Astyanax mexicanus: one gene and its partners. The protein of the gene in region 2 interacts with the protein of the main gene of each other region in a pairwise test. Links are inferred from orthologs where the notes say so. Each region holds a gene or a part of one and is shown on either strand. Other genes may lie near its edges. The genes, in order: retinoic acid receptor beta, psmc5, roraa and rorb.

What was found.
Region 1: the proteins of psmc5 (region 2) and retinoic acid receptor beta interact in binary tests that used the Homo sapiens proteins (3 or more experiments, as listed by UniProt). The link is inferred for Astyanax mexicanus from reciprocal best matches to the Homo sapiens genes PSMC5 and RARB.
Region 3: the proteins of psmc5 (region 2) and roraa interact in a two-hybrid assay, tested with the Homo sapiens proteins (3 studies listed by BioGRID and IntAct). The link is inferred for Astyanax mexicanus from reciprocal best matches to the Homo sapiens genes PSMC5 and RORA.
Region 4: the proteins of psmc5 (region 2) and rorb interact in binary tests that used the Homo sapiens proteins (3 or more experiments, as listed by UniProt). The link is inferred for Astyanax mexicanus from reciprocal best matches to the Homo sapiens genes PSMC5 and RORB.

The regions. Positions count from the first base shown.
Region 1 is NC_064410.1:607,452-615,204, reverse strand, and holds the start of retinoic acid receptor beta, read right to left. Parts: upstream 3,017-7,753; 5' UTR 2,291-3,016; coding exon 2,131-2,290; intron 1-2,130. UniProt on the Homo sapiens protein: Receptor for retinoic acid. Retinoic acid receptors bind as heterodimers to their target response elements in response to their ligands, all-trans or 9-cis retinoic acid, and regulate gene expression in various biological processes.
Region 2 is NC_064422.1:21,903,906-21,911,115, forward strand, and holds the start of psmc5 (26S proteasome regulatory subunit 8), read right to left. Parts: upstream 3,023-7,210; 5' UTR 2,916-3,022; coding exon 2,892-2,915; intron 2,187-2,891; coding exon 2,115-2,186; intron 1,087-2,114; coding exon 1,017-1,086; intron 798-1,016; coding exon 700-797; intron 593-699; coding exon 536-592; intron 1-535.
Region 3 is NC_064409.1:56,481,393-56,489,227, forward strand, and holds the start of roraa (nuclear receptor ROR-alpha A), read left to right. Parts: upstream 1-4,835; 5' UTR 4,836-5,045; coding exon 5,046-5,205; intron 5,206-7,835. UniProt on the Homo sapiens protein: Nuclear receptor that binds DNA as a monomer to ROR response elements (RORE) containing a single core motif half-site 5'-AGGTCA-3' preceded by a short A-T-rich sequence.
Region 4 is NC_064429.1:7,764,091-7,772,054, forward strand, and holds the start of rorb (nuclear receptor ROR-beta), read right to left. Parts: upstream 3,005-7,964; 5' UTR 2,635-3,004; coding exon 2,628-2,634; intron 1-2,627. UniProt on the Homo sapiens protein: Nuclear receptor that binds DNA as a monomer to ROR response elements (RORE) containing a single core motif half-site 5'-AGGTCA-3' preceded by a short A-T-rich sequence.

The DNA of each region.
Region 1 (7,753 bases), on a different chromosome or scaffold from region 2:
ATTACTACAGTGAACTGAGTGCAGCTGTAATGCTGCATACAGTATTATTAAACAAGGATTCTTACAAGTAAATAAAACAAGTGACAACTATAAAACTTCTAAACTAAAAGTACAATTCGTATGAGTTTCTTTGATTTTACCAAATTGAAAACCTCTGGAATATAATCAAGAGGAAGATGGATGATCACAAACCATCAAACCACCAAACTGAACTGCTTGAAATTTTGCACCAGGAGTAAAGCAGCATAAAGTTATCCAAAAGCAGTGTGTAAGACTGGTGGAGGAGAACATGATGCCAAGATGCATGAAAAAACTAAAACTGTGATTAAAAACCATCAGGGTTATTGCACCAAATACTATAGTTTATAGAATAAAACAACAATGTTCATTTTACTCAAATATAAACCTATAAATAGCAAAATCAGAGAAACTGATTCAGAAACTGAAGTGCTCTCTTCATTTTTTTTCCAGAGCTGTATATGTTATATATGGCTACATGATATAATGCTGTCGTGTATACATAGATAAAAACAAGTTGTGACTACGATGTAATGTTCTTATTATTAAGCATGTCATGTAAAAAATATCTAATCTAATAAACAAAATAGAAATGTATGCATGTAATCCGTTTGCAATATATTTAAATTAGGGATGCACAGAATTTTTGAGAACTCGAAATATTCAGTTATTTCCGCATTTGATATAATGAACAAAATCAAACAGTGACTATATTATTATATTATATTATGTCATATTGCATTTTTTCCCTAATATGTTTATTTTCAACAGGCCCCCTTCTCTGGTGGTGTTGCATACAAGAAAGCTGCTACACACAGTGCCAGTAGGGAGTGTGGGAGAGAGCTGGCACAGAGCTGATAAACAGCAGGTTTAAGTTCATTTTTCCAGTTAATAAAATGAAATGATATAAAGTCTTCAGCATCGTTATTAAATTTAGAATCTGTTTACACACAGTGTATTACCCCTTCACAAAGTGTATTTTATTCATCTAAAAAGTTAAGCTTGCACGAGCTTTTACAGGACCAGGGTAGTAGTGTTTAGCTGAGCAGTAGTGCAGTTAACATAGCCCTAGAATTAGCTTGTTTACCTTGTTAAAACTCACTTCTGAGTTACTGTTGCTTTTTTGTGCTTTCAATATTGCTTTAACGTACTGTAGCACTGTCAAATTCTGCTGTGCAGAACATTGTGGCACATAGAGAAATGGATCGGTGCTCACAGAAAAAAATGAAATAAAAAATCACATGCATGCAAACAGTGACTGAGTGCTGCGGGCTTTAATTTACAATGTGAATGTCCTTTTAAATTTCTTTTTTATTTATTTTTTTATTTATTTAACTTCTAAATCTACCCTCACGTTACCTAGTTTAACCTCATCTCTCTCTCTCTCTTTTCTCTCCTCTCCCTTCTACATTCCTTGTTTTGTATCCTGATTTTTAAAAAAGCCCTCTTTGTTTTCTGAGTGTTTTGTTATTAGGATTTAATGACATGTAATATGTTTAATTCTAAAGCAGTGGAAGCAATAGGCTTACATTTTATATTGTACATTTCTTGTACTTTTAAAATGTATGTGTTTAGATTTTTTGTTATAAATGTTTAGTGTTAAATAAAAAAAAAACATTTTTAAAAGAGTAGTTTTATCATTCCGTTTACTTTAAATAAGAAAAATATACAAAAAATTTAAACGATTCAAAATTAAAGTTAATTAATTTAAAATTCAAAATTAATTTTAAAAACTATTAATTTTTAGAAACACAGTAATTCTTTCTATATTCGCACCAATATATGTTTTTGAGATTGTTGCATCCCTATTCTGCCCTATACTAAATGTATGCACAATCTTCAAATAACTGTCACCGCTGCATATGTGCACGCATTAATTAATTGGCCGCGGCGCGCGTGCGTGCGCCAATTAATGAACTCATGTCATGTCAACACGCAGCAATGTCATAGAAAGAAGCGAGCGTCATATCAGCAATCAAGCAAGGTCACGAGCGGTCCGACCAACAACACTAAAAACAAAAAAATAAAGTGTGTGTGTGTACGAGTGTGTGTGAGACAGGGACAAGAAGAGACATAGAGAAAGTGGAGAAAGTGTAAAGGACTTGACCGTACAGTGCGCGCCGCCGCGCCGGTGATGCCAGTCTGCGCGCGCGAGCCCTCGGAAGCACGCCTTCAGCGCCTGCTCCTGCAGCATGCACGAGGACGGGGGCGGAGGGTACAGGTCCAGCATCTGGCCCGGGCTCACCGCGAGCACGTCCATGCAGTCGAACATACCGGGGTCCACTCTGTGTCCCACCTCCTCCCAGAACCAGCAGAACCACCAGAACCAGAACCAGAACCAGGAGCAACAAAAACAACAACACCAGCACGCACGAGCACCAGCTTTGTAATTCACGCGCGCGACTACCGGACCTACTCCCGGTCCAAACTGTCCCCCAACTCCATCCAAGTCCTTGTTCTTGTTTTTCTCCGGTGCTTCTTTTCCAACTCACGAGCTGGACCTTTTAGCACGCGCGCTCCCTCTAAAAGCCGATGCGCGAGCGCGTGTCATCCTCTGTTTTTGCTTTAAAACAAGCACAGAAACAAGCGAATTCAACATCAAACTCTTTTCTCCTCTTTTCCTTCATTTACAAAATCACGTCTCCGAGCCTAAAAGATGACGAATGGGCTCATCCTGCCTCCGCGCGAGCTCTGTTTCCTACCAGTACGGTGTCGCGCGCGCGCGGAGTGAGGGATTGAATCGCCTAATGTATGCGGCTGAACTTTCCGTGAACCCCTCCGAGGCGGCTACCCTTCAAATGACCCCAGCGCTCTGACATCATCACCGAGTCCCGGGATTCTCACGCACAGAGAGAGAGCGCGAGCGCTGCGGAGCCACACCCGCATTCCGGCACGCCACGCCTCCTGCGTGCTCCCATTGGCTGGAGCGTTCGCGCCTACTGCAGTAGGATTGGATGGAATGACTAAAATCGCAAAACTCAGAGTCGCTGCCGGCCACTCGCAGCGATTATGGGCGGGGATTTGTGGTGACGAGGGCGTGGTTTGGCGATGAGGGGGCGTGGTTTGTATGAAGACGGGTGGAAAACAAAATAACACAGAATAAAGAGATAGAGAGAGAGAGAGAAGAAAAACACAACACTCGATGATAGCCTAGTTTTTTTGTTGTTTTTTTGTTGAAGAAAAAAAAAGCTTCAAAAACACTTAAGATATTTTTTCGGAATATTTTTTACAAATAAAATATTTAAATATATTTATATATTTTTTGGTTTCTTCACCAATGGGACATGTTTTTTTACGCGCCTAGACAGTCTGAAAATATGAGGGCAGTATAAAAAAGAAAACAAAAGCAGGAAAAAAACAACCCACCCTTCTCTGTGATCTTTTTGGGTGTAAACAAGGTTTTTATTTTTGTGAAAGGCTCCCATACATTTTCTTCACCGTTTCTAGAATGTCTAACTCTTGTGTAATAATAATAATTCAGGGTTTCTGCATATATTTTACATTCAAATTAAATGAAATTTAATGGCCTTATTTTCCTTCCTGTTCATTCTCTCTCTCTTTCTTAAGGCAATTTAAATGTAGTAAATGTATCTAAAATATCTACAAATATCTAATACTATGTAATTTATAAACACAATTTGCTCTACTATATTTATCAATCAAAACAATCCAACACCAGAATGAATCAGGTATAAAAAAAATACACTTAAAAACACTAAAACACTAAAAAAAAAAATCCTTAAGATTTTTTAAGAATATTAAAAGCTTGAGAAAGAAACACTAACAGGAACCAATAATCTAATGAATTAAGATTTAAAAGCAAGAAACTCTTAGAAAATTATGAAGAAACACAGTGAAGGAAAAAAATAAAAAGTTATTAAGAAAGGTAAGAAAAAAAAATAGTGCACGTAACAGAAATACTGATAAGACCCAAGACCCAAAATTTTACTTCTAAAAAGCATAAGGATGTAATCCAGATTTTTAAATGCATTACAATAAAAAAGTGAAACAGACATATTAAAAACTATAAAATACATTACAAACACATTGCCACAACTGCAAACAACCGTACCTGTTCAGACCTTCACACACACACACACACACACACACAAACACACACGCACACAATTCTATACAGAATATATCTGATGTTTGAAGTATTTAGAATATTAAAAACGATAAAAAAACCTTTAAAACCGCATTAAAAATACTTCATATAAAACTGACCAGCCCCCAAATTAGACCTTTAGCCTATGTTCACACTGACAGACTAAAATGCCTGAAATCACATTTTCTTTACCTTAAAATGACACAGATCTCCTTACACATGGCTTTGTTTTGTTTTCCTACCCCATGTGCTCTGCCCTGTCTCTGCTCTAGCCCCACCCCTAGTCATTACTGTTGTTGCCTTGTGTCTTGTTTTTAACCCCGCCCCCTCGTTACAGGTCCCAGGTGTTCCTCACCCTCCTTGTGTACTGAAGCCTCTTTGTTTTTTAACCAAACATAGTATTCAAACACATAACATACAAAGCTACAACACATACCCCATTCACACATTTGCTATTTAAACAGCACAATTATAACAAGATGACAAAAATAATAATAGCAATAAAAATAATAATAATAAAATAAAATTCATGGTGCTATTGTCAGCATCAACATCAAACACTTTGACAACATACATTAATCTTCAAATAGTTTAATGAATAGTTTAATGGATCCTCTTCCATAAAACGCCTAAATTGACCCCAGATCTCCCTTAAAATCTCCCTAAATTGACGTGACTTCTTAATTGCAAATGTTAATTTCAACCACTGACCTAATGTGGGTGCCGACATACTTTTTCATTTACAAGAGATCCAATTTTGATAACTTTGTTGCATGGTCTTAGATTGTATATATATATATATATATATATATATATATATATATATATATATATATATATATATATATATATATACATATATGATTAGTGGGCATGCAACATGATTAAATGTGTACATCAGATCAGATTTCATGCATCTTAGAAACAGGTCACTTAGATTTATGAATGTGAAACATCCAGATCTAATCCGAGTAAAGATATGTGAATTGATTAATGAGGCTTGTAATGTGAACAAGCCTCGTCTTGTCTCTCTTTAGTAACAGAGGGGGTCTGGAATCGCTCCATGACTCTCCAAACACCGCATTAGCTCCCGCTCCGGCCGCTCGCTTGTCCCTCTTCCAACTCACACAACTTTATACCCAGAGCTGCGGCGCTGCTTAATCCACCAAATTTAGAAACCAATTTCGCAGCTACCGGAGTCGCTTAGGATATAAATGATGTTCCTGAAGCTGAGCAAGACTTTAATCTTTAATCTTCACTGCTTACGAGTGCACATGTGTAGCTGCCTATGCCTATGTGTGTGTGTGTGTGTGTGTGTGTGTGTGTGTGTGTTCTGCTAGACAAGAGGAAGAGTTTTAGAAGTTTTGGTTGGTTTGGATTAGTGCTCTAAAGCCCATCCTGCACCAATAAACGCTAAATATGTAATAAAAGGAAGGAAGATACAACAGAAAATTTACATTAAATTTGAACTGTGTTCCAAAACTGCAGCACAAACTCGACTTTTAAGGGTTAAAACCTCACCCTGACCTGAATTCTGTTCAGACAGTACTCTGTGGTGTGAATGGTGTAGCTGGAGGAATGTGACCGCACACACTCATGACTGTAGTGCAGATAAAACAGAAGACAGATAAGGAGGGAAGTCTATTCAGTTCACTCTTTATTCTACTGAAGTGCAGCAGTATATATGGAGTGTGTCATTTCTGTAATCGTAGCCTAAAGGAACGTCTGGCCGGCTGCATGTTCTCGTGCGCGGCTGTGTGTTATTGGCTGGATAGTGTGAAATTAAAAGCAATTTAAACACGTGAATCAAACTGGCTTTTAAAGTCATGGTAAAAAGTAGAAACGCTGCAGAGGCTTAACTACAGTAACGTCCAGGAGTTATAAGAAGGCATAAAAACATACCATTCACCTACATGCAAAAAGGCTCTGTGTAAATTGTGAGATTATGAGGTACATGTAGTGTAAACTACTGAAAGACACTCGCTGAGCCGTCGCTGACTGACCTCTGATCAGTCGAAGACACAGCAAAAATTTGGCATGCTAGATATCTGACCCAGTCGGCGACTGGGAGCCAGGAGCAGCGGCCAACCTACAGCTAATGAGTGAGTCCTCTATGAATAGAGCTGAATGGAGCTAAAAAAGCCAAAAATGGTGGCTAACTACAAAATATTCTTCTGAGTATTCCTTTACATTTAGAAAGTAGAATAATGAATGTTTCTTAACAAAGCAAATAAACCATTATTCCATTATTCTACAACATTCAGGGTTTAGTCAGTAGAGATGCTATCAATACTGCAATATGAGCTGATTGGTTGGTGAACTAGAGCCTTTAGAGTTTAAAAGGCTTTGAAATTCTGTTTGCAGTGTTGAAACATTTGATATAGTTCTGTGTTTAGGATATAAGTACATGTTTTAGTATAAAATTGATCAGACATTTATAAATTTATATGAAACCGTTCATGTTGGACTCACTTTAAGTGCGTATTCTCCTCTCTATAGAGATTTTCTAGCATAGCATCGATAGTTCTCGAGTGTGTTTAGTTCTGGTGTGTTCTGGTCGTGATGAAACGTGTTTTTGGAGAGCAGTCAGGTGAGTTGGAGATTTCTCACAGTGTAAAATCGTGTAATTTGTGGCTTTGTGTCATCAATCAGTTCTTTCCTGTAAAAAAAAAAGTCTCAACACCGCAATGACTCTCGATTACAGCACAAAAAGTTTACAGTATGTACCCCTGTACAGAGAGTAGTGCTATTCCAGGTACAGCATTTTCATAAACAGTAAATATGCTTGAGAAATCAATCCTACGCTTTAATACTGAAGCAGATTCATTTCTGTGAGTAATATTTTGAAAGGCTGGGGTGCTGATCGTCAGTGCAGGCGGTGTATAATATCTCCAGGCATGTTGAAAAGAAAACATCCATGCTAATTGATGATGATTTAGTTTCCATTCTTCTCTGAGCACCATTACGTTCTGCAGCACCGTGTTTCTCAGAGGCGAGCTCGGTTTCGAGGCGAGATCGATCCTCCGCTGCTTTATGAATAATGGAGAGACTCGACAGAGGAGCTGAAAAGAAAACCCCGATCCCTCCTCCCTCCACTGCACACGGTCCCTGACCCCCCGCGGCCCCCGCGCTGTAACTCTAGCCCTCCTCATCGCCCTCTTCTGCAGACGCTCTCTCCCCTCCGCAGCTCAGCCTTCAGCCCCGCCAGGTAATGGATCCACCTGGAAATCCACCTGTAATTAGAAAGTGATAATGAACCGCTCCATCAAGATAAGCCACTTTTTGGCATCGCTGCTCAGCGTCTCCGTGTGTCGCGTGCCAAGACTCACTCGAGCGAGACGCCAGACAGCTCCTGATCATTTAATAAAGTCGGACGAGACCTGACGTCACGGGAGGGACAGCACCGACACAACACAGCGAGATTTAGACAAGATTTAACTGATTTAGAATAGAAAATTTGACCAATCTACAGTATACAACACAGCAGGGGTCTGGCCAGATATTTTCCATTATGTGGCCACAAAAAAAAAATCTGTTTTGGAAAATAAAGTATAATGAGGTGTAATGGGATTTAGTGCTACACACTAGTAGCTCTCCAGCCCAGAGGTTTGTTGAACCCAACTGCAG
Region 2 (7,210 bases):
ATAAATAATTATCACTTAGAGTTATACTGTCTACAAAACAGTTCTGAGGATTAAGCATTTAAATAATATTAAATGTTCAGCATCTCTAATTTCCTGGCAGCTTCAGAAAAGCAAGAATCATTACAAATCACTATCATCTTATCATTAAGAATAGCCTTAATATTCCTTTTTAATTTAATCCAGTTTTATTTGTATTATCCTGTAAAAAGACATTAACCTTTTCTCCTGTGGACTAATGTATTTTCTACCTTTTAGTTTGTACAAATAACATCAAATGTCTGAATGTTAATTTGATAATGTGCATTTTTAATAAACGTAATAAAATGGATTTTATGTCTTTTTTTACCAACCTGCAATAATAATTTACAGGTAAACAACAAAAGGGAACTGATGTCATTATTTATAGTGACATTAGTTTAAACTAATCACCAGCCAGGATTTCATGCAAAAATCTTCACCAAGCCTGCTGGAATAACCCCGTTACAGCAAAAATTTAAAGAAGTGAGGCTGGTCCAAATTAAAGAGCTGGACTTACATCATTAATGTCAATGTTTTTGTCCACATCCACCACAAACTTGCCCTCAGGATGAACCTAAACACCCAACAGTACAATAGAATATTACTTAAAAAGCAGTTTCATATAGGCATGAATAAGACAAATAAAAAAGTTGGGTGGTAAGAGAGATTAGCATAACACACCTTTACTAGGACCTTCTTCTTGTCCATAGCTCGGACCACCTCGCCTACATAGGAGCCCTGCTCCTGCAGCAGCTGCAGTTCCTCCCGCAAGAGACGCACTGAATAAAAAACAACAACACAGGCTTCATTCACTGCATTCACAAACATTAAACTTAGACAAAGTTGGAGTTCATGTGAAAATATATGTTTCAAGCAATAACAGGGTCAGGTTAGAAACAGGTTTTCAATTGCACTGTCCTTCATTATATCTGATACAGGATTTCGCATCACCATTAGTTTTAACGGCTACTCAGACAGGGTAACAGTGTTTGTTTTACCTTTGGCATTTAGCTCGTTCCTCTGGGCCTGCAGACGTCTGAGATTCTGGCTTTTTTCATTCACTGTCAACTACAGAAACAACAAAATATGAATAATTGTTTTTTGACAAAACTGATTAGTGTACTAATGGGTGTGCTCTCTTTTTAACAATGTCACAATGACAAGACTTTGGAAGTTTTTTTGTACTTTTTTTTTAGGAATCAGGAAGGTCAGCGTGTTTTCATTAACAATAAGTGATGAGGAGAACGTGACTGAGTGGCAGAGAAGTTTCAATGCTGTTCTGGGACCAGTGTAAATAAACTAGGAGACAACAAGATATCCAAATGAAGCGCTGGGAACCTCTCCTCAGATATCCAGCTTATGCATGTTCTACACGGCATAAAGTTGCATTCAGGCCAGAAGAGCTTTCCATCCTCTCTTTTCCTCCGTTTCATCTTCAGAGACTATAGAACACTTGAGGATTGTTTGATCTGTATTTGATACACAAGGATTGTTTGCTGTGTTCATAAAAGACAGAGTTAAACAACAAAACATAAAACTTGATGGTAAAACATCAAATTATAGCAGAAGAATTTAAATATTATAGACACTTTAAAACTTCCACATTAAAGGGGTGCTAAAAATGTGTTTAAAAAAAATTATGAAGTGGCATAATATTTAGCAATAAATATTATTTATGAATTATATGTACTAATTAAGGAATATTCAATTAACCAACCACCACACAAACAAATAAAGGGAAAAAAGAGCAAAACGTACATTATATGTAACGAAGCAATGAAAAAAATATATAAATGAAATGCCTTGTTACAAACAACAATAAATGTCATTTTCATTTTGTCCAGTGTGTCTCTTTCAGGTTATTTTAAAGTTAATGTAAAGGTTAATGTTAGTTTAGGTTTAAAAGAGCCCTGCCATAACAGTGAGACAGCAGAAACCTCACAACAAGCACACACCTCACAAACAATTAAAGTTGTTTTTTTTTTTTTTTTTTGAGGGATTTGATGCACTAGTAATGATGCAGCAAATTAGTTTACATATTTTCACAAATGCAAATCTGGAGGGTCAAACGTATAGCTAAAGATCTTTATCCTTACCTGTAACTCTTCTATTTTAGACAGATAATACTGCCGGAGGCCTGAGCCACCTTTACTTTCCTCCAACTCCATCTGACGGGCAGAAAACAACAGAAATAGAGACATTTAGGAACAGAAGGAGAAGAATAGCAGGATTAATTCATGAATCCACACAGTTATCCGGGTGATAGGTAGGGTTAAACTCAGGGCTAGGGTCAGAAATCTGACTTAGTTAACCAAGCTAAAATAGAGAACATACGAATATAACAACCTATAGCCGAGGCAGCAAAATAAGAACCAATAATGAAAAAAGAAAATACATGATATTTAAAGGCAGTGTAAAAAGTAAAATACATTAAACATGATCGTTAATTTACTAGCACTGTATTAGCAGTTCTTAACTCACCAATTCACACACACCAGATATAAACCTCGACTTTTCTAGGAGACCTGTTTGTTTAACGACTGTCCGGCGTCTTAGTTGTTAAGTTATAATAATAAAATAATAAGAGAAAGCAGTAGATTATATAATAATTAACATACTGGAGAAGCTGCTCATCTGTTAGCACGCGAGGAGCTAGCTGACCACCATTCATTTCAACGTTAGCGTTAGCATACCAGCTAACAATGAGACAGCAAAGCAGCGCCTCGGCTCACAGCGCGAACAGTCTGAGGACTAATTCTCTCCGTATTAACAGTTCTACACAGTAAATACATATATTAAAAACGATACAAGCCACAAACAGCTATCCGCATCATAAACAGGAGATTTATTTAATTACACTCAGAAACACTTACATGGTCGAGTCCGTCCAGCGCCATTTTCAGCGCAGCGCGCAGTGGCTGTCTGTTTTGTAGAAACTCGACAGCGCCCTCCAGCGGAGCCCTCCGCCGCTTCAGCCCGGTCCCTCACTGCTGTATCCCTAAAGAGATAGACAGTAATAAACAGCTCTGGATAAAAATAAAGAGACCACTTTAGTTTCTAAATCAGTTTCTCTGATTTTGCTCTTTATAGGTGTATGTTTGAGTAAAATTAACATTGTTGTTTTATTCTATAAACTACGGAAAACATTTCTCCAAAATTTCAAATAAAAATACTGTAATTTAGAGCATTCATTTGCAGAAAATGAGAAATGGCTGAAATAACAAAAAAGATGCAAAGCTTTCAGACTTCAAATAATGCAAAGAAACCAAGTTCAGAAATCAATATCTGATTGAATAACCCTTTTTAAATCACAGTTATCACGCATCTTGGCATGTTCTCCTCCACCAATCTTACACACTGCTTTTGGATAACTTTATGCCACGCAATCCAAGCAAATTAGCTTGGTTTGATTGCTTGTGATCGTTCATTTTCCTCTTGATTATATTTCAGAGGTTTTCAATTTGGGCAAATCAAAGAAACTCATAATTTTTAAGTGTTCTCTTATTTTTTCAGTGCTGTATGTGTCACAAAGTTCTTTACCTTCACTTTAACTCATATAGTAACTCAAGTGACACATCCTGAGAGCATCACCGCAGCAGTGTGTAAATCTGTCTTCATTGATTTCACCTCATTTACAGAATATAGAAGTGCTGGGTCCACCAACACAGTACTGAAACTCTGTACTACCACACACACAGTGCTAGAACTTTTTAAAATGGACATGCACTACACATCCCATACCTATATTATCTATTTTCGGTACTTGCTGTAATTTTTGGGAAGGAGGGTAACGCAATTTCAATTCTCTGTATGTCCTGTACATATGCAGTATTGACAATAAAACTACTTGACTTGACTTGAATGAAATAAATAAAATAAATTACAAAAATGATGGAATGAGACCTTTAAGCAAGTGTTCCTCGATCCTGGTCTGGTGCCCCACTGCCCTGCAAATACGCTTCCAGGAGGGGCCCAGGGTTTAGGGTAAGAACTGGGACAGGCGTTGTGCCGAAATCCGACTCCCCGCAGAATCCGACTCCCCTTCGCGGGCTTCACTTTTGGTGTCTTATCTTTCCTTGTACAGTAAACATTACATACTAAAGGCTTTATTGGGGGTTGTATAATTTTGGCAGTAGAGTATGTCCTGTGATGGATTTTACTCTATCTTTAATAGGGGGGCTTCTAATGGAGGGAGGATAATTTTGGCAGCATAATATTTTTATGCCTGCCGAAATTAACCCCCACCCCCTATGATATCAGCTCTGCAGGGTTCTAAATTTCATGTAATTTATTTTACATACATGTCCTGGTGTGTAGAGTATGTCGTGTGATGCATTTCACTCTATCTTTAATAGGGGGGCTTCTAATGGGGGAGTATAATTTTGACAGCATCATTTTTATGCCTGCCGAAATCATACTCCCCCATTAGAAGCCCCCCGTTAAAGATAGAGTGAAATCCATCACAGGACATACTCTCCACACCAGGACATGTATGTTAAATAAATTACAGGACATTGAGACCTTGCATTGCTGAGATCATAGGGGGAGTATGATTTCGGCAGGCATAAAAATGATGCTGCCAAAATTATACTCCCCCATTGGAAGCCCCTTTGTTAAAGATAGAGTGAAATGCATCACAGGACATACTCTACACACCAGGACATGTATGTAAAATACATTACAGGACATTGAGACCTTGCAGTGCTGAGATCATAGGGGGAGTATGATTTCGGCAGGCATAAAAATAATGCTGCCAAAATGATACTCCCCCCATTAGAAGCCCCCCTATTAAAGATAGAGTGAAATGCATCACAGGACATACTCTACACACCAGGACATGTATGTAAAATGAATTACATGACATTTAGAACCCTGCAGAGCTGAGATCATAGGGGGTGGGGGTTAATTTCGGCAGGCATAAAAATATTATGCTGCCAAAATACTCCCCCCATTAGAAGCCCCCCTATTAAAGATAAAATAAAGTAAAATCCATCACAGGACATACTCTACTGCCAAAATTATACAACCTCCAATAAAGCCTTTAGTATGTAATGTTTACTGTACAAGGAAAGATAAGACACCAAAAGTGAATCATTCATATGTTAATGCAAAAGATGAACATCATTTTAACAAGTTATCCTTGTGAATGTGAAAGCTACTAGCATTTCAACACAAATCTATTTATATAAATCTGCTACTATCATTTTTAGGTTCAGGCGACTTTATTATGCAGTAAAGTGTGAACTAAAATAAAATAAAAAAAGTCAGCGTATAGTGCAATGACACACCGTCGGCTGTGTTTTCACTTCACAGTTGTGGATTAAAACAGTGTTTAATATGTAAAACTCATCCTTATGACTAAAAAGCATGCTGCGAGAAACATTGTGTATAGTTCCTTATATTAAACTGTCCTGGTTTACCCAAACTAATCACAATGAGAGTCCTCATTTGGCTTTTGATTACACTGTGCTGTTTGATGTGAAGGAAAATGAAAGATAAAGCTTAATTAACACACAGAAGTGACCAAAATCGCGAGTCTCTTAGTTGCGCCCACAAGTTAACGTCATGCGCGCGCCCGCGAAGGGGAGTCGGATTCTGCGGGGAGTCGGATTTTTAAACAGTACATAGGTGTATTCTGTGCTACTTTCTGCACCTGACCCTGGTACAAATAAGTACACTGTATGTTTCCTAGTTATAGCATGCACCGAATTGTGACCATAATGGATGGTTCGGTACAAACACACGCACTGTTACGTCCTGATTCATAACATACTTTTTTTAAGCTAGGCCCAAGTTTAAGTTTACAGCATGTCTACATTACACCTGCATGCCTCAACAGCCATGCGACTTTGTTCAAGCCTGCCCTTCTGTAAACAGTCTCTCAGGCCACGCCCAGCAGGCCAGCACTCCAGGAGGAAGCTGGAAGCTGAGACCAAAGACAGGTATTACCAGACTGGCCTGTTTGGTCAGAAACGAGCACCAGAAAGAGCCGCAGGAGAGCTTCTGCCCTTTATTGTTAACACTGTTATTGATTCTCTCCACAAGACAGCAGTTATGTGGACACTGTACTAAACTCCAGCAGCTTGCATCCCTCAGCCTCACTGGTTTTATATAATGACTGTATATACAGTCTTAAGGTATACATCTTACAAAGATGTGCATTATATAAATAAAGGTACTCGGTCACCTGCTCCTTTATTGTTTCTGCTGAAATAAGAGTTTATCCTATTTTGTAGGATACTTTCATTACTGTCTAGAAAAAAAATCTACCAGATTTGAAGCATTACTGTGAGAATTTGATTACATTCAGTGGCAAAAGTGTTAGTGAGATCAGGGTGAAAAATAATAATGAAAAGTAGTCCTCACACTTTTTTGTCCAGCTTGCTCTCTGGAGAAATCCATGGCTGCATTCTAAACATACACTTGTACACTTTATTTTACACATTAATTAACACATTTCTAATGATAATAGATTTTTTAATACACTGTTTAGTGTGATAGTGTGCAGTTTGGGCCACAGCACCTGTTTTCACCTGTTTTAAATCTTTGCAATGTGTCAATGCACATTATGTGAATTATCATACTTCCCGTCATCCCGACCTAATTAAAATTACACAAAACAAAGTTTTTGTGTGGGCAGACAATTTTATTGTACAAAAACACAACAGCCCTGTAAAAAAGTAGAAAAGTAGCATTTGATTGATATAAAAACTACAAAATAGAACATGCAATTATTTTCATTGTCTTACAAAAAAATGTTTAACCCCACTCAGCTGATTATAAAAAGTACAAGAGCATGTTGAAACTTCTCGACAATGGCACCTATCTCAATACTAGCAGTAAAAAAATGTTTATATAACAATAATCTCACAGGTCGGGTTTTAAAAGTACACGCAAAAACAAATGTAATAATGACCAAGTGCACGTGTCATTAAAAACAAAAACAACCTGAAGAGCTAATCTCTTTAACAATCATTTACTACAGCAGTGGCTTCACTGCTGTATGGAATGTAAAAAGCACAAGATGTTCTAAGCACTGAGTAGACTTATACTTTTACCTGTAAAGACAAGTCAGAGATATGGCTTTAATCTACATCAATTCAATAGAATAGTTTAAAATAGTAAATCAAATTTGCACAGTGTAAACCTTTTCCTAAATAATGTAATCAGCCAAGTTGTGTTCAGTGTAAGT
Region 3 (7,835 bases), on a different chromosome or scaffold from region 2:
CATGACAGGCTGGTCATAGACATAAACATATGCCTCATACAGAGACAACAAGACATGCAGGAACATCAGCAGTACTGCAAGAATGATTTGTTAATCATAACATGCATGTATGCTTTGTTGTTTGGCAACAAATGACCTCATGCAAATCACCCATACAAGATGAGAGAGCAGATACGTAGCATTTGCTTTGTCACTGTCTATTATGATCATTACAATGAAAAGCAAATATCTGTAAAGTTCCTGTAGACACTGTAAGCTCATGTAAGTTCACTTAACTTAAAGAAGAAATAATGCAATGTGTTGCCCTAAAACACGTAGTTAAGCTTTCTAGAAGAAAAAAAATGATTAAATGTCAAAGGTACTTCAAGCTTCAAGTTTTATTCCTATTTTATTTTTATTTCCAATTCTTTGTTGTTCTTTTAGATGTTTTTAATTTTACTTCTCTTTGTTTTAATCATGTTTGAATCAATTATGCTTTATTCTTATTTTAGTTTTTATTTCCATTTTTACTGTTATTCTTTTACATGTTTTTTTAATTTGACTTCTCTACGGTGCATTATTCTTTGAAGAGTACCATAGAAGAACCACAATTTGTGCCTAGAGGAAACAATTACATATAAGGTTATTTTAGAACCTTTACAGTATGTGTTCTATTTAAATGATTCTTCACATTCTCATTTACATCTTGTTTACAAATATAGTTCTCTATAGACATATACAGAAAACCAAAAATAGTAATTTTATGGCTTTTTGGTACTTTTATTTCAGGAAATGAACAGTATATTCCAATATATTTAATACAATAGACATCTCTAGACTAGAGACTGTACCACATACAGTCTATAATAATTAAAAAATGTGTAGACTGTGTAATTCATACACATGGCATCAGTTTCTGAATGCTGCAATGCCATCAAAACTACATTTTCTTTCTCTGTATTTTCATCTTTTTAGAGGCTCACTTAAATATCTGCAAGTAGAATTGCACCCACTGTCATCTCACATGGCAAGGTATAATAAGTAATTGCTTTCTCCCTCTAGTAAAAAAAAAAGGAGAAAAATAAAAAATGTATTTTGCATGTCAAACTTGATTTCTTATTATGAAAATAAGGTAGTTGCAGATGCTGGTATGAAAGAGAGCCCTTGATGTCTTTCGGTGGTTTGAAGTTAGATCTCAATTTTATTTGGCTGGGGGCTATCATCAGTGTGTACGCAGTGTCAACCAAGCCTTGAAGAGAGGCAAGAAACAGCCGACGTAGGACCAAACTAGTTGATTTTCAGTGCTGGAGCTGCAAAGGTGCATTAGCTGTGAAAATTGCAGTAATTGGGAGCCTTAGCTTTTTCTTGAATTGTATATACTTTACTTGAAAAATAGTCAAATTATACTAATGCAGAATTACATAATTATAAAATAGGTACACATATTATGACACACATCGGTAGCTTACTTAGAGAGGTTTTACTGCTTGTGGTAATTATGAGAAATGGCTTCGTAATGTTGTATAATATTGTTTTATCTTAGGTGCCTTCATGAATACAGAAATATAAGTAACTAAATAACAAAAAAAATCTAAATGATGAGAAGTGGTATGCAATAAAATAACTCATGTGCTAGGGAATAAAGTAACCTACACAATTTATTTTTCTGGTGTTTTTATTTAAGCAATACTATAAATTAGATTAAAATGTAATACAATTAAATTAAGATTTATTTATTTTTTATTAAAATGATAATCTGGGCTAATCTGCAGATTTGTAATAATATTATATAAAATGTATTACATAAGATTAATAGCTAAATGCAGATCAAAGCATTTCTGTTTTAGAAAGGCCTGATTTGTAGTGGCTGCACACTAATACAATACAGGGCCTATATGAACGATGCTGAATCTGATTAGAAGGGGAAAACTGCCTTTCCTTTAGGCAGGGATCACTAGAGGTCACTCCTTATTACAGTGCCCTGTGATAGGCCATGTGACAAGCAGTCAGTAATCTTTGACTTTGTTCAAATGTGAACCTATTGGCTTGGCCCTATTGTGTGTGTGTGTGACCGCAGTCATGTTTTCCAGGGCTATGATGTAAATGTATATGTTAAACACTGTCTAGCTCTCCATGCATTGCTTGACTACTTATTAGAGAAAGACTATGGTGATGTAAAGTGGCCTATCATAAACTAATACACTCCACACCCTTCAAGTCAAATAGCTTGACTACATGCTTTGCAATGTTTGGCTCCACTGCTTCTATTGCTTCCTAATAGTGATAACAGTCTGCAGGTGATTGCCACCATTAGGGCCACCTGTTCAGGAGAATGTGAGTGGAGCTGGGTGTCTGTATTTGCAGAGCTTTTACAGGTAACTGCTCCTTTCTCTGAAGTGTGTCGCTTAAAGGTTAACTGGCTGACGGCCGACCATGCCAAAGTCCACGTGCTCTGCTGTGAGGGGGCGGAGCTCGGCGCGCGGGCTCCGCCAGGGCCCCGCCCCCTACACGACTGCGCACGTGGGCTTTGAAAGCGCCAAGTCGACGAGGATGTGGAGTTTTGGGGAAAGAGAAGCAACACCATAACCGAACCAACAGCTTTCGCTGCTGCTATGTCTGCTTTCTGTCTTTAAAAATCATTAATACACCCCCAAATATGTAGAGAGTGAATTTAGCTAGGCAGTGTTTTGATCAGCTGGCGGAGTCCGTGCTAATCTAGACCAGTTTAATCTACTGAGGGAGACAGATAAAGCTGCCCTCCAGCAACCCTCAGTGCTCAGAGGAGAGTGCAGGCTTGAGAAATTTTACATTTTACAGAGACAGTGAAGGGTTTTTTGGATTTTGCTCATAATATAGTATATTTTAGCTTTGTTTCATGCTGTATAGTTGAAATACAGATCATTGTTAAAGCCAAAATTGCCAAAAGTTAGTGTTGCTTTGGGTATCCAATCCATCTGACAAAAAAGAACACAGTCAAGTCTAATTTAATGAGTAATTCAAACAGTTCTTAGTAATAACATTAGACACTACATACTATGACATATAACATGACAAGCTACATGCTATAAAGTTAGCAAATAGCTAACTTTTAATGTTAAAATTAGCAAGATAGCTAGCTAACTAATGCACTCTAATGCTTTGGCTAGCTAGTTAAATATAGGTTAAATGGCTAGTCTGTAGAAAATAAAATAATAATTTAAATAACATTAGACATATTACATTATGTAAGGTGCTGCTTAACCTTTAGTACTTAGCATTTTCAGTGTTTTATTGCTTTGTGGAAAGTTCAGATTTTACAAGAATGATGGTGCACACTATGGCTGCAATAATATTATATATACCTGATTAGCAGTGAAATAGTAATATTACTGTCTTAACATTAGCTTGGGATTGGGCTCATAAATTCTGTAAACTTGACATACATTGGAGAAGCCAAGACTTCCAATTGGGCATAGCCCAGCTTTGTTTTAGGCATGTACACAGTAACCTGCCAAAAGTCTCGGGATAGCAAATGTTTGACCAAAAAGTGAATGGTCAGTGTTCTCATGGCAAGGGGACATAAAATATCAAAGTTGAAGTAAGGCCCAATTGTGAGTGCTATTGATATGGAGGGCATTACCACTCACAGTGGACAGTGCAGTGTGTGGTGATGATGGTGATCGGCCGTGTCTGGCTACAATTATACCTGCAAACAGACAAGCAAATCTGGCAGAAATCACAATATTCAGAGCAAGAAGCATATCCTGCAGGTCCGGGCAGCAAACAACATAGTACACATTTTAGTGAATACAGACACCAAAGTATTTTTTATTATGTGTAATGTACTTTTTTTCTATAATATATAATTTGAAAAAAATCTAGGGAGAAAACAGTGTGTAGAAAAGCTATTAATTATTAGCAATAATTAATATTAATAATATTAGTTCTGGAAAAAAAAGAGACCACTTAAAAATGATGAGTTTCTTTGATTTTACCAAATTGAAAACCTCTGGAATATAATCAAGAGGAAGATGGATGATCACAAGCCATCAAGCCAAGCTAAACTGCTTTAAGCTTTGCACCAGGAGTGGCATAAAGTTATCCAAAAGCAGTGTGTGAGACTGGTGGAGGATAATATGCTAAGATGCATAAAACTGTAATTAAAAACCTGGGTTATTCCACCAGATATTGATTTCTGAACACGTAAAACTTTATGAATATGAACTTGTTTTCTGTGCGTTATTTGAGTTCTGAAAGCTCTGCGTCTTTTTTGTTATTTCAGCCATTTCTAATTTTCTGCAAATAAATGCTCTAAAGGACAATCTTTTATTTGGGAGAATTCAGGAGAAATGTTGTCTGTAGTTTATAGGATAAAACAAAAATATTCATTTTACATATACCTATAAATAGTAAATTCAGAGCTGATTCAGAAACTAAAGTGGTCTCTTATTTTTTTTTCCAGAGCTGTATATAAATCGGATGGGTAGTGAAATAGCAATGTCAACATTAATATTACTCTGAGTTTGGGCTTATAAATTTTATATAATTTTTTTATACTTCAAATATAATTCTTAACATGATCCCAAATAAAAACAAATACATTTAGAGAGAGACATTCTATTTACTTACTATTACATCGTATGATTGTTTTGTAGGTTGCTAATTTCCTTCCTGCACGTGCCTGCTACTGAGAGTGTGAGACGCAAAGAGCATGCAGACATTATCATTATCTGTGAAGCACAATAGTCTAATAAAAGAAATAAGGACATGAAAGAGGGAGGCATCGTTCAGCGTGTGTGAGAGAGAGGGCTCCTCCACCGCTCCACATCCATTCATCGACTATTGACAACCTCTCCCTTTTCTCAGTTGTCTGACTGGAGCTCTCACTAGCGCTGCCAGTGGACAATCAGACCTACACACCCACCTCTGGCTACACTCGCGTTTTTTTTTTGAACATTTCTTAGTTCTGCTCTAAATTTACACGGCTAGGCGAAGTCCTCTTAGCTCGACTAAAATCTCGCCGCGACGCTCCGTGATCCACTGGAAGACAGAAGAGGAGGAGAAGGCAGAGAAATCCGAGATACAACATGGAGTCCCCTCCAGATCCAACCAGCGACCCGGGCAACAGCGCCTCAGAGTCGGCTACCCCGGTCAGGGAAACCCCGGTAAACCTGGAGACTCTCCGCAAAGCTGAGCACCACCAAGCCCCCCCGGTCAGGAGACAGAGCTGCTCCAGCACCAATAGAGGTAAGAGAGGCCAGCGAGTTTAGTGTAGTGTAGAGTCAGAATCAGCGGCGCGAGCCATCGATTCGCCTCAACACTGAGGGATGCATCAAACTTCAAAGTGAATCAACTTAAAATCGTGGAGGAGCTGCGCCTCAGATGGGTGTTTAGCGCTTTATATTTCACAGACACGTTCTCCCACGTTTTAGAGAGCTCGTGCACGCCACGCTGTATGCTCCACCGTGTATAAAAGCACGTTTAATTGTAGCTAGCTGGCTAATATAGTGTGGAGTTGGGCTGCCTCTGCTGCTTCTGCTGCTCGCGTAACCGCGGCTGACAGACAGACGAGCAGGCAGGCAGGCAGGCAGGCAGGCACATAGGCAGCTCTGAGCACTGTGGCAGGCTGGGTGACTGGCTGGGCTGGCTGTGACACTGTCTATGGGCACCACTGATTAATGACTTTTTTGATTTAATGACTCAAACGGCCCCTCGTTATCGAGTTCTCAGCTCAGATCAGATCAGAGCGTACAGACACAGTCGTGCTTTATTAAAAGTAGTAACGTAGTAGGGTAGCTAGCACGGGTTTAGATATATGGCAGCACTGATTTATTCCAATACAAGTTCGCTGGGCAGTTTTTATTCCCCCAATCGCATAACTAATTCAGTCTATGATGACAACAATATTTCACTCACAGCACTAGCAGATAGCTCCATAACTTGGAGTGTCATATATCGAGTGTGTCTCTGTGTTTCTTTGCACACACACACACGGGGTGCTGGGGTGTGTGTACGACTGTGCAACTGTGCATTTTTCACGTTTGCTGCTTGCTGCCGCTGCTGTCAGTGGAGCTCGGCGTGTCGGTGCACGCGCTCTCTCGCTCTCCTTCTCATTTCGGGCTCGTGCGCCGCGCGGACACTCCACGCTAACGTGGGAAAACGTCAAAAACAAGCATGCATGCAAGAAAGCAGCACAGCAGGATGAATATGCATGTGTGTGTGTGTGTGTCACTGGTTGGTTGTGGCCGGACCACAGCCCTGTTCGTGGTGGTTTTGGCGGTGGTCGGCATTATATCATCATGAAGCCCAGCATTACAGCATTACGAGCAGGCAGTGTGAGAGTGTGTTTTACAGTAGAGACAGTAGAGAGGCTCGTTTAGCCACTCCCCCCAGTCGGCATCCTCCATTCAACTTGGCTAACTCGTCCAAGTTCGGCGGAAAACAAATAATGGGTTTGTACGTTAGCACGGGGTTAGCACACAAGAGGTAAAAAAAAGTGCGAGGGGCTGAAACTTTTGGGGGCTCGTGCAGCTCGCACTTTATAAAACCAATAACGTTAGATCATTAATGGGGAACCATAATATATCATAAGGTTATGGCAACGTTTTATTTTCGAAAAAAAAAAAAGTCTGAAAAGTCATAGATGTTCCTTAAATTATAAGACAATATTAAACCTTATCCAGAACTTAATTTAAAAGTTGCCTTAATGTTTTTTGTATCATGTGTATAAGATTAACTTTTAAGCAACATTTTCAAAAAGTTTCCTTATGGTCCAAAAAGATAGAAGCATAAAACAAGCACCTGAGCTAGTTTTTTTTTGCACCGTGCATTACATACATAATATTATAAGATTGTTATCTTACATGTTCTGAACGTTCTTGCAACTTTTATAAACATATTTAACATGTTCAAATCCCATCCAAATGCAAGATAATTTTTGTAAGGTTTCTAATGTAGAAGAGAAGGCACGTTTTCTGAAATGTTAGGAAAACGTTCCCAGAACTATGCCACACAACCTAACGTTATATTTCAATTAAAAGAAAAATTTAAATCAGAAGGGGCAACCTGCAAAGTTCTTTAAAAAATGATTCAAATATTTTAAGGAAACATTAGGGGAATGTTTCCAAGCCAAACGTCCTGTAAAGAAATTTGGCATTTCTGTAAAGAAAACTTTCCTGGGGAACCAGAGGACAGCCAAACATAACTTTCTCTAAAGGTTTTATGGTACCACTTTAAAATAAAGCTCTTTTATAAAGGTTTTATAAATAATTTATAAATGAGTTTGTTTATGGTATATAAATTAGGTTATAAACTATTAATAAGCTATAACAACACATAGAAGGGCAACAGTGGCCTGTTGTTTGCCAAATAGTGATTTCACATTCATTTATACGGTTAAACTTAATATCTTACTAGATGCAGATGCTTATCTTACTTTGTCTTTTCCATCCGTCAACATTACCATATCTGTTATTAACTTTAATGACCCAGATTAATAATTTGTCCAATAATCATAACACTGTGTTTAATAGCATAAAATAACATTAAATAACTAAACCGACTTTCCATATTATTATTTTATTAGATATGTTAATGCTGATTGAAGAAAGGAAAAACAAAGTATGATATGTTTTATGTGCTGTAACTTATTATGAATGATTAATAAAGTATTTTTAAACTAACTATTGATAAACTTTCTCATAGACTATTTATAAACCCTTTATAAAGGAGCCTTATTTTAAAGTGACACCTGATTTTAAAGTTTTACAATGTAAAGTTTATGGGAATGTTAATGCAGGGTTCTCTAAACGTTTCAGTCATTTGAAGTTATCATAATAATATTGCACTTCGAAATGTTTCATGTGAAATCAAGGGGC
Region 4 (7,964 bases), on a different chromosome or scaffold from region 2:
AAACTGCATAGGGGTCAAAAAAACCCTCCAAATCTTTGAGATCAGTCATGAACCAAGTTTAAGCCCACTACAGCTGCTGCTTTAACTTCATACTTTTATTTTTATTTTATTCCTTCTTTTATAAATCCTCATTTTATTTTACTTCTATTCCCAGTTAAACCAAACTGTGCTTACTTTTATGAATCTGGGTTTGGGAATCTAATATTTTTTATAGGCGGGTATTTTTAATCATAAACATAGTCTGTGAGACCTTAAAATTAGTACTTTTTAGTCTTCTTCATCATCATATTTTAGACTAAATATGTTTTTAAATTTTAAATTAATCATTAACTGTTATGATATAAGATTTGGTTAAGCCAAGAGCTGCAAAGCAGTAACATTGCACCTTAAAGTACTACAATAAAGCATGTTTCAGTCACAAACTTCAGTCTGTGAGGCTAAATGAGGTTACTTCTCAATCACAAAATAAAATTCTGGGTCAAACAAGGTCAGTTTTGTTTCCAACCAAAGATAGAAAGAAGGTTTTACAAATAAAATGAGCCAATGGGGTTAAACAATATATTAATTTTGTATCCTATAAAACAAAAAGTAAATAGAGAGATCATTACACTTTATCCACATAATGAGTTTTAGACAAACAAGACATATTTTAGTCACCAAGTACAATTTTAAAAATAAATTTAGCCAAAATAACCTATAGCCTATTAGACGTTAATATACATTTAAGTCACAAAAATATTTTATGATTAATTTTGCTCACAAAGAGTGTGTGAGGCCTAAACAAAACTATTAGTTTGTGAGGACAAACAACATAACTTTTAAAAAGAGTCTGTGAGGCTAAGCATTGGAATATTTTTTATAACAAAATGACTCTGTGGAATCCAAAAAAAAAAATAATTTACTGATAAAATGAGTCTGAGCCATAAACAAAGTCTGTGTGGCTAAAAATTTACTTTTAAACTATACCGTTGGTTTGTAGAGATACACTACTTTTTAACCTTAAAAACGAATCTGTTTGGAATTAGTAACTTTTTACATATTGCTTTTATTTTTATTTTATTTTGAACAAATATGTTTGTGGTGTCAGTTGTAATCTGGTTAAGCTGTGTCATAAAATGTGAGGAAGCGAATGCATTTTACCCACAAAATGGTTAGAGTCTATGATGCGAACAAGCTAGTTTTTACAAAACTTTTTAAAAATTATAACATAGCATTTCTTTTACTAATGCATTTTTAAACATTCCTTCAGACTGTGACTTTATTTGTAGTTTTAATTTAGTTTGACTTCTAGCCGATAAATAAGCTATTCTCTGGACTTTTTTATTTATTTAATACAATTCAAAAACTGCCATCATCACTGCCATTTCCAAACAAGCTAGACTAGCTAGCTTTATTGTTAATTATTTCTCTTGTTTTGTTAAGTGCTTTAAATACAAGGAGCGTGAGTTATAGGCTACTTGCATCAAAATGTATTATTTTTAAGTAAAAAATTTCGTTCAGACATGAAACGAATGTAAGAACATATACACACACAGTTCTGTACAACAGTTTCACGCGTTAATTTGGAGGCTAAATAAAATAACTGCCCTATATAATCGGTCGGACTCGGTGGTCGTCCCCCGCGCGCTGCACTTCAGCGCAGTGGGCGCGAAGTGGCGCCTGACTGACGGAAATGGGTCAGTGGAGCGGACGGAGTAGCGCGCGCCTCGTACCGACCCGAGACCCCACATTAACAACGCCCGATCCCTAAAGTTGTTCGTCCACGCGGGGTCTTTTCCTTTCTTTTTATTTATTTGTTTTTTTTTTACCGACTCCACTGCACTCCATGCACGCACTACGCGGGGCTGTAACGCAAGAAATCGAGCGCAATAAAAGCAAAACGCACGTGAACGTCAGCATGCGCGCGTGCATTTCTCAGGTTGGATTTCGCCACCGCGAGGAGGTCAAACTCCACCGCTGGTTCACGGTTGCATAAGCTTGCATGCTTGCGAAGCTTTTAACGCGAGCACCAGCGCATGCACGCGGGGGTACGGAGCGCACCTAGGGGGGCGCGCTGCTTCTGCTTCAGAGTTCAGTTCGCGAGCGATGTGTATGTCTGTGTGTGCTTGTTTTTTTACGGTGTTTCCTGCACCTGTAGTGCTACTACATACAGTCTATTGTGGAGTTGATTATAAAGAAAAAAATAGAAAAAATAATGTTCAGTCTGGCTGATACAAAAGAGAAAATACCGAATAATTCGACCTCGAATAACAACTAATTTAACTAAAAGTCAAATACTGTATATATACTGTGCTTCAACGGTATGAATTCAATAAATTAGGTTCAATACATATTTGTAAACTGTTGTTTGGTAATTGCTTTCACTTTACACAAAAATACAAAAAAATGTATTCAGGATATTTCAGAATAAAATTTATGCAATGGTGAAAAAGTGGTAGAATTAATCAAAACCTTTTTTAGTATTCAGTATTCGGCATTTAGCTAAATGTTACTTTTTTGTTCATCCACAGTCTCATCTCAACCCATCCAGAGACCCCAAACCCACCCTTTTGCAACCGGACTGACCGGCCAGGGAGAGTCTTTTTTAATTATTTAAATCAGCCTGTCAGAAACAGTCGTGCTCCTACCTCGCATGGTGGTGTCGGCGGCGACTCGCTCCCAGTCATGAAGAGACGAAACGAACCCAAACAAGGGGTTTTAAAAAAACAACGACAATAAACAACAACAAAAACAACAACAACAGCCGCAGAGCTGCACCGACAACCGCAAGATCCCCGGCAACAAACAACAACAACCGAAAAAAAGTAGTTCTGTTTCTGTTCTGCTTCTGATTTGTTCTGCTCTGTGTGTTTTGTTTGGTCCTCTCTCGTCACGGCCCAAGCGACAGGTTCGCGCGCGTGAGCATCCCCGTTAAACTCGGCGCGAGCGTGCGGACTCTCACGCGACCTGAACGGGCTCAGCGAACCCACGGAGGTTTTCACCGCTCGCGCGGGGCTCCGCGAGTTGGGAGGTGCGCACGAGAGACCCATAGGAGCTCCGATTGGACGATAGAGCTCGACCACGCCCACTTTGCACGAGCCCGAGCTGGGGGGTCTCCGTGCGCGTTGTACAGAACCGAGGCTCCGCCCACTCACTGATGAGAGGCTGTGGTTTGTGGAGAGTTGGAGGAGAGAATGTAGAATATAATAATAAATAACAAAATATAACTTTTATATCATCGCATTATTGCTCTTTTATATTGCACTGGAATGTATACATTTAGCATTTAGCTTCTCTTGCTATCTCTCTCAAATATTGCAAAGAAAACAAGTTCATATTCATAAAGTTTTAAGAGTTCAGAAATAAAATCTGGTAGAATAATCATGGTTCTTAAGCACAGTTTTCATACAACTTGGCATGTTCTCCTCCACCAGTCTTACACACTGCTTTTGGATAACTTTATGCTGATTTACTCCTGGTGCAACAATTAAAGCAGTTCAGTTTGGTTTGATGGCTTGTGATCATCCATCTTCCTCTTGATTATGTTCCACAGGTTTTCAATTTGGTAAAATCAAAGAAATTAATAATTTTAAGTGCTTTCTTATTTTTATTTCCAGAGCTGTATATCCTTAGACCCCTACTCCAACTGCAACAAACAAATGCTTATTTACATGCTCATGAATAATAATGAGAAGCTTAAGAAAATGTTTGGTTGTTTTTGAGTTACATGCTTATCACATAAAATAACATGCTTATTATATATCTACAAGTTTTATTTTTAAAATCTAAATCAAACAAAAATTATAATTTAATAATATTTTGACTTTTATTGTTCTGTAGGGTTTATAAATTTAGTTCCTGGGATTATAACTGTTATTATAATCAGCTGCGATTCCTCATTGGTTGTCAGTCTTTTAGCTTATTCATAGATTCAGATTCCCCCGTTTGTTACAAAGAGCATAACGTTTCTAACTTATTGATTTATGTGATTTTACATCACATTCTGCTTGTCTACCTGTAATAATCACCACTTTGCATGCTCATTAGTAATACTTAAAAGATTACACACTCATTATATATAATAGCATGCTTATTACATTGTTATTACAAGCGTTATTAGAATATTTTAAACATGTATACATTCTCACAATATTACTGCATTTTGAGTTTATTAAGTTTAGCTTTTTAGATTATAACTGTTATTATAATTAGATGAGAGGGGGATTTTAAGCTAATTCCTATTATATAAATGAATAAGCATGTTATTTGCAGAAAATGAGAAATGGCTGAAATAAGAATAAAGATGCAGAGCTTTCAGACCTCAAATAATGCAAAGACACAAGTTCATATTCATAAAGTTTTAAGAGTTCAGAAATTAATATTTGGTGGAATAATCCTGGTTTTTAATCACAGTTTTCATGCATCTTGGCATCATGTTCTCCTCCTCCACCAGTCTTACACACTGCTTTTGGATAACTTTATGCTGCTTTACTCCTGGTGCAAAAATTCAAGCAGTTCAGTTTGGTTTGATGGCTTGTGATCTTATATCTTCCTTTTGATTATATTCCAGAGGTTTTAAATTTGGTAAAATCAAAGAAAAAGTGCTCTCTTATTTGCTGTATATGTACATGTATATATATATATATATATTAAGATGAAATAGATGGAGAGAAGGTCTGGAGTGAATGTGAAGAGCAGCAGAGGCTGAGGAAGCAAAGGCTGTGCAGGCAAACCATGCACGGCATCCTCCACCTCATGACCCACTAACCCTTTTGGGTCAGATTTGAGTTCACTTGCCGCTGGATCCCAGATAGAGCTACTTCCCTTCTTCCTTAGGGAACTCCTTCAGAAAAAGTCAATTATAAACCAGATTGAGCAGCAGTTACATATCTCTATTGTGTATCATCTGCACAGTGATTACTACCTATAAACTACTGTACAGTATACACACAGTTTTGGAAAAAATAAGAGAGCACTTAAAAATGATGAGTTTCTTTGATTTTACCAAATTGAAAACCTCTGAAAAAAAACTGCTCGAATTTTTGCACCAGGAGTAAAGCAGCATTAAGTTATCCAAAAGCAGTGTGTAAGACTGGTGGAGGAGAACATGATGCCCAGATGCATGAAAACTGATTAAAAAACACCAGGGTTATTCCACCAAATGTTGATTTCTGAACTCTTAAAACTTTATGAATATGAACTTGTTTTCTTTGCATTATTTGAGGTCTGAAAGCTCTGCATCTTTTTGTTATTAATATAAATATTTTTTGTGTGTCTATATGTGTGTGTGTGTGTTTGGGTGATGTTTTTCACCATTTTTTACTAAATCCTTGAATCACGAAAACTTAAATGTAAAATAATGTAAAGAATGAATGTAAGATTATCACAGTGGGATTTTATTAATATTTAATCATGCTTGTTTAATTGTATCTTTTTTAACTTTGAACACAGATTGTTCGTTGTGAATTGTGTTCAAGAACCACTTACATTTTCAAAAAAGTCAACTTCAATGTAAAATACAAAAAACGAACAAGTAGCAAATCTTATTAAAGATCAGAATCAATATTAAATATTATTTTCTCTGTAGAAATGATTCCGTTTACTCCCCATCTCAGTTACCGAGATTGTTCTCTGTGTCAGTTTAACAAAAAATTCAGGTCTTGTCCTATTTTGTGTCTCATGATTCTGTCTCTGTGATTTTTCCTGCCCTAATATTTGTTTATTTACTCACCTTTACAAATGCCCTGTGTTTATCCTATGTCTCCGCCCCTGTCTTTGGTGTGCTTACTTTTTCATTTTTAGCTCCGCCCCCTTGTTACCTGGTCATACATGTTTCCTTTTTACTGTCCTCGTTCGTTTATATTTATAGTCCCCTTTTTTCTGTGTTCCTCATCCTTGGTTGTACGTTTTTGTTTTAGTTTTAATTTTTTAGTTTGTTTATTCCTGTGTTTTTAATATATACTCGCAAGTGCATACGCTCTCCTCATTTCTGTCATGCTCCCTACCTGACATTTAATTTATTGTTTTATTTTTATTTTCACTTTTTAAAAGGTTCTGCATTGTAGATTAATACTAAAGTCATCCAAACTGTGAAGAAAAACATATGAAATTATTTAAAACAAACAAAATATGTTTTATATTTTACATTCTTCAAAGTAGCACCTCTTAGTTATAAGACAGCTCTGAATATCTCTGTTGGATTTTCTCAGTCAGCTTTATGAGGTAGAATCACTTATAATTCAGGCTTTCAGTTAACAGCTGTGCTGAACTCATCAAGAGTTAATTACTAGAATTTCTTGTCTCTTAATAAAGTGTTTGAGAGCATCAGTTGTAAAGTAGTAGTTACAGGTATACAGTGAATAGATAATATTTGATTTATGTTCTAATACATATTGTGAGAGGCAGGAACTACTCAAAAACTAAATAAAAAAATACTTTAAGAAAGAATGAATATCAGTCAATCCAAAATATTTCAAGAACTTTGAAAGTATCCTCAAGTGCAGTCACTGCAAAGACCATCAAAACGTTTTGAGTAAACTGACTACATCATCAGGACTGGGATGAGATCATGTAGGGTGAAAAAATAAATAAATAAAATGAATGAAAATGTGGATGCTATAAACCACCAAATGCTGAGCTAACAGCCAATCAGCAGGCTGCCCATCCACTAATCGATCACCCTGCTGCTCACTGATTAGCCAATCAGAGGACAAATGAATAACTTCTGAATAAATTAATTCCATATGGGGGAGCTGTCCCTGTTAGAGCTCATGTTGTTAATGTTGTTACTTGCTAGTTAAGTTTTACAAATTCCTAATGTAAAAAATGGGGAAATTCAAGCAAGAATTCTAGTCTTGTATGTTCTAGGTGAAAACATACTCTATACTGGTAATATATATGATTAGCCAACTCTTTATTAGTTTACGCTCTATCCGGATGGGATTAGTTTCTCAGGGGGACGACTGTGAAAAATATTTAACACTTCTCCTCAGTGATAAAAACTCTTACATTCGGACTGCAATTGAAAAAACAGGAGAACAAGTGAGTTTTTTTTATTGTCTTTCTCGGTCACATGACATTGCGGCGTTCAGTAGCTCCTCCATTTCCACTCGCTGTTGTGTTTTTTACGTGGATCTCCGTGGAAACGCCCATGCGCTCAAAGTGTAAATACAGTGTGCGGCAGTGGACAAATAGCTCTTTTATTAAACACGAGGAGACGAAACTCAGAGATGTGTCCGGACGGGACTAAAATTACCGGAGGAGCACTGAGTTCAGCAAAAAACTGTAGATAATTCAGCTTGTAATTTTCTCAGAGGACGTTTGAAAAGTGGGGCTTCCTGATTAGCATGCCGACCCTCCACTGCCCTCAGCACAACCAGCAAGCTGATTGGTGCGTCTTTATTCAGGAACACCAATTGGGGGATGAGCGTCACAAGAAATCCTATTCATATTTCAGTCAGTGGCTGGTCTCTTCATTAATAACAGGTATTATAACACATCTGCACGTTGAGAAAAAGCGATGCTAAAATAATATATTATGCAGCCCTAGAAGGTCTTTTAAAAAGTGAAAACATTTAGAGACCTCTCTGGTAAGAATGTCTTATTGCACAGAAGCATGTGGATTAGTAATTTTAATGCAGATTAATGTAAATAAATTACTCTGTGAAATTCTGTGTTTTTTAGATTTAAAAAAAATATATAATATATTGCCATAGTTGTTATTGGGATGGTTGTGCCAACAAGTTCATATTCATAAAATTCATAAAATTCGGAGAGAGTTCAGAAATCAATATTTGGTGGAATAACCAAGGTTTTTAATCATAGTTTTCATGCATCTTGGCATCATATTCTCTTCCACCGGTCTTACACACTGCTTTTGGATAACTTTATGCCTTTACTCCTGGTGCAAAAATTCAAGCAGTTCAGTTTGGTTTGATGGCTTTTGATCATCCGTCTTATTCCATTATACTTGATTATATTCCAAT